2 linked regions of the Arabidopsis thaliana genome follow. The protein of the gene in region 1 interacts with the protein of each later gene in a pairwise test. Each region holds a gene or a part of one and is shown in the gene's direction. Other genes may lie near its edges.

The links.
Region 2: the proteins of AT2G32280 (region 1) and OPS interact in a two-hybrid assay, tested with the Arabidopsis thaliana proteins (one study listed by BioGRID).

The regions. Positions count from the first base shown.
Region 1 is NC_003071.7:13,711,117-13,714,875, forward strand, and holds the start of AT2G32280 (GPI inositol-deacylase C, putative (DUF1218)), read left to right. Parts: upstream 1-1,849; 5' UTR 1,850-2,093; coding exon 2,094-2,192; intron 2,193-2,389; coding exon 2,390-2,595; intron 2,596-2,674; coding exon 2,675-2,861; 3' UTR 2,862-2,889; exon of another isoform or gene 2,890-3,383; intron 3,384-3,399; exon of another isoform or gene 3,400-3,526; coding exon of another isoform or gene 3,527-3,730; 3' UTR 3,731-3,759. Other genes in the region: BAM6 (beta-amylase 6), read right to left, coding at 3,527-3,730. UniProt on the Arabidopsis thaliana protein: Required, together with OPS, for embryo provasculature development and cotyledon vascular complexity and connectivity.
Region 2 is NC_003074.8:2,769,692-2,773,450, reverse strand, and holds the start of OPS (LOW protein: UPF0503-like protein, putative (DUF740)), read left to right. Parts: upstream 1-2,075; 5' UTR 2,076-2,513; coding exon 2,514-3,759. UniProt on the Arabidopsis thaliana protein: Potentiates primary root protophloem differentiation. Required, together with VCC, for embryo provasculature development and cotyledon vascular complexity and connectivity. Regulates roots architecture.

The DNA.
Region 1 (3,759 bases):
TTAATGATGGAGAAGATAGATAAGAGAAGTAGATGAACACAAGAAGTTATTAGTTAAGATCAATCGGTGTGATATTGATCCTACATCTCGGCGAGAGCGGGATTGAACAATTCATAAACTTAACTTCACAAGATCATGGAGAGCTCCATAAATCCGGAGGTTCACGAATCATGGCCAAAAAATCTATCGTACAAGATAACAACATGAACACGGCTCATAAAAAACCTTATCTCTATTAATCAGTAAAACCCTAATTTTCAGCCAATTCCGGTTCAGTTAGTCTTCGGTTTAACATTTTTTCTTCGGTTTAATATTTAAACAAAAAAAATACAAATTCGGTTTAATGTCACACAACCATTACTAAACCGCGTGATTCGAAGCACAACTTAACAATTAGAAATTAGAATATTCATTTTTTTCAAAAACAAATTTGGATTATTGCATTATTGTTTGGATAAAACCACGATGATGTTCACATGACAAAATGATGTTTAGTGAACGAGACGCCAACCGCTTTATATGAACTGTTTTAGTTCGGAGATTTTGCGAGTTCCGACTATGGGTTAGAACTAAAATTTTCCCATATTGTCAAATGATGTTGTTATAAATAATATATTCTCTACATAATTACTGTGGAATTAAGGAACATAAATTTGATTCTTTAACAGAGAAGTGAAGATATTGGCCATGCTTGGTTGGGTTGTATTATGCCCTACTTTTCTTCCCCCCCAACACAAAGAATCCAACCATGTTTAACCAAACCAAATAAATATATAAAAAGCAACTATAAATTATTCACTTGAAGAAATGTTAATTAACAAATCGATAATTTTTATTTAAAGCGAATTCGCCATTCCATGACCATATGGACAAAAAGAAGCTTTATTGGGCCAAAGTACCCACATGCATATCCCACAGCTAATCTTTTTTATTTTTGACATATCCCAGCTAATCATATTCCATGTTTCTTCTATCCTTTTTTTTTAAAAAATTGATTATATTCCCATGATAATCATTTCAATTGTTTTACCTAATCCTATATTTGTTCGGAGTTTCTACTAGAATTTCTATCTACATCAACATCAAATTGTAATAGCTTTATGTCTTTGCTAAAGCACATTACCTATGTAGCAAACAATCGTATTAAATATAAACGAAAATATAGCTTTATGTCTTTTCACTAAAATCAACAATACTAATCCAAATCGGAGATTTGCTTTCGGTAAACATTTTTGTTCGACTTTTTATCTAGAATATTATAAAGTAAGAAATTTTGTGAATAAGTTACTAAAATGAATTCATTACAAAAGTAGATAAAGTATAAACTATCATGATAATTTAGAAGTAAAAGGATTATTTTTTTGTGAATAGTAATTTTAGATAAATAAATTATATATCTACTAAAGAGTAAATAAAAATATCAATACAATTATTTAATTTTTAAGGGCAATACAATTATTTATCATTTTGATTCATAATTAAAAAAAATTGTCGACAAACAAAAAAGCTTCATAATTTTAAATTTAGCATATATTAAGAGATATTTCATAAGAGACACTAATGTCTTTCTAATTTTCATGTTAACTTGGATGTTTTAAATATCAATCAAAAAGGTTATAATTGAGCCTCACCAAAAAAAAAAAGGGGTTATAATTGATCTGATTCGATCAATTATCCAGTGTAATTATATATTGCAATCTAGTTAATGATATAACGTTATAGGTCTCATTTCCTACATTCAACTAAAAGGTAAGCTAAAAAATCTAAAAGATACAAATATCCAACAGGAGAAATATCTTTTTCTCTCATTGTCTATATTTGTTGTTCTTCTATCTCTTTCTCTCTCTTTTTCTTCCACACCCTCACAACTTTACTTACGACTTTATTATATATATACCACCAACCCATTTTGTCATAAAAGATCATTACTCGTTAAGACTTTCCACTACCCATTCTCATTCTCTCTTCAACTAATATTCTTCCCCGGCCCTCATAAAGAAGCTTCTCCTGTTCTTTATTCACATTTTCCAAAATTGTATCTTCTTAAAGTATCTCCAACAAAACTAAATCCTACTAAGTTAAGAGATTTGAAAATGACAAAGATAGGAGGTATTCTTGTTTGTCTAGTCATTGTGGGCTTAGATGTAGCTGCTGCAATCCTCGGAATCCAAGCTGAAGTCGCCCAAAATCAGGTAAAATAAATGTTCTCTTTCAAATTAATAAATGTTGTTTCCCTAATTTATGATGCTAAAATTGGTAATGATGGTTGCATAACATACATACTGTCTCAAACTTAGAAATTTTCTCAAAAAAAAAAAAAAAAACATTAGGAACCTGAATTAATAGATTTTTTTTTAACAAATGAAACCATCGATTTCCTCTATTGTAGGTGAAGCACATGAGGCTTTGGTTATTTGAGTGCAGAGAGCCGAGCCAGGACGCGTTCAGGCTCGGTCTAGGTGCAGCCGCGATATTGGTAATGGCTCATGTCCTACTTAACTTGGTCGGAGGCTGTCTTTGTATTTGCTCTCAAGACGAGTTTCAAAGATCTTCTTCCACTAGACAAATCTCCATGGCTTGTCTTGTCCTCACTTGGTACGTTAATACAAAATCTTCTTGGCATTAATAATTGTTGGTCCAAGTAAAATGACATGATTGGCTGGTGTAATCACAGGATCGTATTCGCTGTTGGATTTGGGAGTATAGTGATTGGGACGATGTCGAACAGTAAGTCAAGATCCTCTTGTGGATTCACACATCACCATTTTCTCTCCATTGGAGGGATTTTGTGTTTTCTTCATGCCCTCTTCTGTGTTGCTTATTACGTTTCTGCCACTGCGGCCAAAGATGAAGCTAAGTGACAAAGTGTCACGGTTAATGATGGAACAGGTAGGTCCTTGTTCTTGACTATATTTATGTATAATCATATAACCTAGTTTCAATTTATTTCTTCTTATGAATCGTTTCACTTATTTCGAAGTCACTTTTGTAATTTTGAAAGCTGTGTCATTTTGAAAAATATGGAAAAGCTTTTATGTCACGCTCTGTTGTCGCATGTGGGGTTAAAATGCACTAGTGATAATGACATTCGGTGGAATCTTGTCTTTGCTTCGGGTCTTTAAATTAATTCAATTGTCTCTCGTTCTCTCTTTTTCACACACACACCTATGTGAATCCTTGTCACGGGAAACTTGAAATCTGTAGAACTGATTTCTAGGAAAATAGAATAATTTTTATAGAAGAGAGTATCAAATGGCACTATGAAGTAGAGAATTGCACAAACATTTTTTACTACCAGAAGAAGATCTGGTCTGAAATCCGACCAAAAAGGAGTTTGTATGAAAACTGATTTTTCTGTTGTTTAACTTCAAAATGTCTACAGTTGTCATATCCTGTAATCAGAAAACTAATGGTTCAAATTTATATCATTAGGATGAATTATTTACTTTTATATATTTATCTCAAATCTTTACATATTTACTTCAGAAATCTTATACGTTTATAGAATTTCCCCTTAGCATATTCTCTAGGACTTCTTTCTCAAAAATGTGCTTCGCAATAGAGACAGTACACTCTCAAAGGGTCTAATACTCATGTCTGTCTCGTCCAGCCATGGAAATGGATCAAATGGTTCTGTTTCTTCCATAAACATCTCCAAGGATTCATCGTTTCTCGATCTTTCCAACGGAAGCAGCTCGTGATTATACCTTTCAGGCTCTGAACAATACTCCTGAATCATGAAAAGCACACACAACTTCA
Region 2 (3,759 bases), on another chromosome or scaffold:
TCTTCCGTATTCATCACCACCGCCGTTTACTTTTGTTGACATGTATTTTTATTCTAAAACATTGTATTTTTCAAAGTTTCTTTTAAATAATACTTGTTCTTTACTAAAATTACAATGATCCGTATGTCTCAATTCAAACGATAGCATGTAATTTTTGAATACTTCATGCTATTTTTCTATTTTTCTATTTGATATGTATATTTTCCTAAAACGTTTATATTTTTTGATAAGATAATATTTTTTTAAAGATAATGTGCATTTTACAAATAATCTATGTTTTTTTACTAAAATCACAAGTAAGTTAGTGATTCATGATTTATGTTTTTTTTTATAATCACATGCAAATTTGTACAATCACATGTAATCTATAAATAACACATATGTGGTTTGCTTATCTCTGTTGAAACCCATTTACCATATTGTCAAAACAATAAACCTACATTTTAATGTAATAAAAATAAATAGCATGTCCTTAAATATCTTATGCAATATTTCTATACTCAATCACAACTGTTTCTAAATGGCTATCTTTTAACTAAGTTTTCTTTTACGTATACATTTTTAAGGTATAAGAGATATTGCGTGTGATTTTAATAAGTAGTGGTCTAATATTGCATGATTTTTTAAGAAGTAGCGGTGTAATCATTATTTCGTATTATCTTTTGTTTCCTACATGTAGCAGCTATTGTCGGAAAGAAAGAGTTTATCTCATTTATAAAGGGTAAAATAGTTATTTCGAAGGATAAAAAAATGTTATTTACCCAACTTTTCTGCACGAAGGCTATTTTATTAATAATGCTGTCAAATTTGGTCATCCTCTAATATTACCTTAATTAAAATACGATAGTAAATTATATCTTACGATGGTTACTAGAATGTTAGTACAGTATGTTGTAGTTTATACGAAAGAACAAAATGATTCACCAAACGAGCGGCGTTTAGGTGAAGGACAATATTTGTTTCCCATGCTAGAGACATTCGGAGACCCGTACGTACTATAGTTCCTAAATCATATTAATAGCAAATATATATATTTGAATATCTAAATTGAATATTATTCTGTGGGGAAAACAGAAAGAAAAGAAAAGCCAAGACAAATTTGATCAGATAAAGGAATAAAACTAAAGTTAAAGTTATATAGAATGCATATCACAACAAAAAAAGAAAGCATACAAATAATACAGTCTTTGATAACGAAAACTTGATCAATGTTTTCTCGTGTTTTTTCTTGACTATAACCTCTCTTCTTCTTGCAAACAGTATAACTTTAAAAATGAATTTTGAAAGTACTTGATTTTTGTTATGAATTATTCGTCTTAATTTTAAACCTCTGTTTTTCGTCTTAATGTTAGAATATCGAGAAGATTAGTTTGGAGAAATGTATGAATATATAACACAGAAAAACAAAAGAGAGAAAAAGAAAAAGGAAAGAAGAGAGAAAGCGAAAGGAGAGAGTGTCATAGAGACAAGAAATTAGGAGTGTGATGGCGTGATTTGCTTTTCCTTTTTTTTTTGGGTCCGAATCTTTTTAATTCCAAAGTATCTCTTTTTAAAATTTCTTTAAATTAAAAACAAATACTAGTAAATTCTTAGTTGTTACTGTGGTTAAAGCGGGTAAATTCCATAGTTGACGCCTGTTGCTATGATTGATGCGATAATTGACATGATTATTACGGTAGCACTGTAAGAAATGCACAAGATGCAGCACTATCAAAATACTACTAGTATTAACTAATCAATTAATATCGTTGAAATAATTTGTTTGTAACTTTAAACGGACTTTATTAGATCAACAAAATCATCATGTACTAAATAACACACGCACCCCATACTTATCGTTGAATCACGATAGAGTTATTGTTTTAGATTAAAATGAAGCATGTGTTGTTGCTTTTTGAAAATTTTGTCAAAAGTAGTGTGAAAATTTTGATTTTTTAGTTAAAATTGCTTTTGACAAAGCAGGGAAAAAAATCCACTTTGCCACCGACCCAACAAGTAACGGGTTTATATTAGCATTACATGAGACAAAAATCGACAGAACATAAGGTCAATTTAGACATATCATATTTCTCCAATTAATTTGCATGTTAACAAAAAAAAAATGTAACTGACAAAGAAAATAAAAAGCAAAATATTGAAGTGGACAAAGGTTTAATATGTTTTATGTTAGATATAGTACATAAAAATAAGATTTGGCTTATATCATATGAATAAATCTGAACAAAATTTCTAGATAACCGTACATTAACACGCTAAAACCATATCCTAAAACTTTTGTTTATTTGAAAACACTAATTTGGTTTTTCTATAATAATTCTTTTGTTTTGTTTTTTTCTTGTTCATCTCCTTTCTCTTTCAATTACCGTTGGAACAAGACGAAGTTTCAGAGACAACACTACCCAATCTCTCTCTCTAACCTTAAGTGTTGTCTTTCTCTCTATAAGCCAGAGACCAGACAGTGATGACGATATAGTATATGAGACCAGAGGGAGGATTAACCACCATTTCCCGTCATGAATCCAGCTACTGACCCAGTCTCCGCCGCCGCAGCTGCTCTTGCTCCGCCTCCACAACCTCCGCAGCCTCACCGTCTCTCTACCTCTTGCAACCGTCACCCAGAAGAGCGGTTCACCGGTTTTTGCCCTTCTTGTCTCTGTGAACGTCTCTCAGTCTTAGATCAGACCAACAATGGCGGTTCCTCTTCTTCCTCTAAAAAGCCTCCGACCATCTCTGCTGCGGCTCTCAAGGCTCTCTTTAAGCCTTCCGGAAACAACGGAGTGGGCGGTGTAAATACAAACGGAAACGGCCGGGTTAAACCCGGATTCTTCCCGGAGCTCCGTCGTACGAAATCTTTCTCAGCATCCAAGAACAACGAAGGATTCTCCGGCGTGTTTGAGCCACAACGTAGGTCTTGTGACGTCAGGCTTCGAAGCTCTCTTTGGAACTTGTTTAGCCAAGATGAGCAACGAAACCTTCCAAGCAATGTCACCGGCGGTGAGATTGATGTCGAGCCGAGGAAATCAAGCGTTGCGGAGCCTGTTCTAGAGGTAAACGATGAAGGAGAAGCTGAAAGTGACGACGAAGAACTTGAAGAGGAGGAGGAGGAAGACTACGTTGAAGCTGGCGACTTTGAGATTCTCAATGATTCCGGCGAACTAATGAGGGAAAAAAGCGACGAGATTGTTGAAGTTAGAGAGGAGATTGAAGAAGCGGTGAAACCAACAAAGGGTTTAAGCGAAGAGGAGTTAAAGCCAATAAAGGATTACATAGATCTTGATTCTCAAACCAAGAAGCCATCGGTACGACGGAGTTTTTGGTCGGCGGCCTCTGTTTTCAGCAAGAAGCTTCAGAAATGGAGGCAGAATCAAAAGATGAAGAAGCGGCGTAACGGCGGCGACCATCGGCCAGGATCAGCTAGATTACCGGTGGAGAAACCGATTGGGAGACAGCTCCGGGATACTCAATCGGAGATTGCTGATTACGGATATGGTCGGAGGTCGTGCGATACCGACCCTCGATTCTCTCTAGACGCCGGAAGATTCTCTCTTGACGCCGGTAGATTCTCCGTTGACATCGGTAGGATCTCGCTTGATGATCCTCGTTATTCGTTTGACGAGCCGAGAGCTTCTTGGGACGGGTCTTTGATTGGACGGACAATGTTTCCTCCCGCCGCGAGAGCTCCTCCGCCGCCGTCAATGCTCTCGGTGGTGGAGGATGCGCCGCCGCCGGTGCACCGTCACGTAACCCGAGCGGATATGC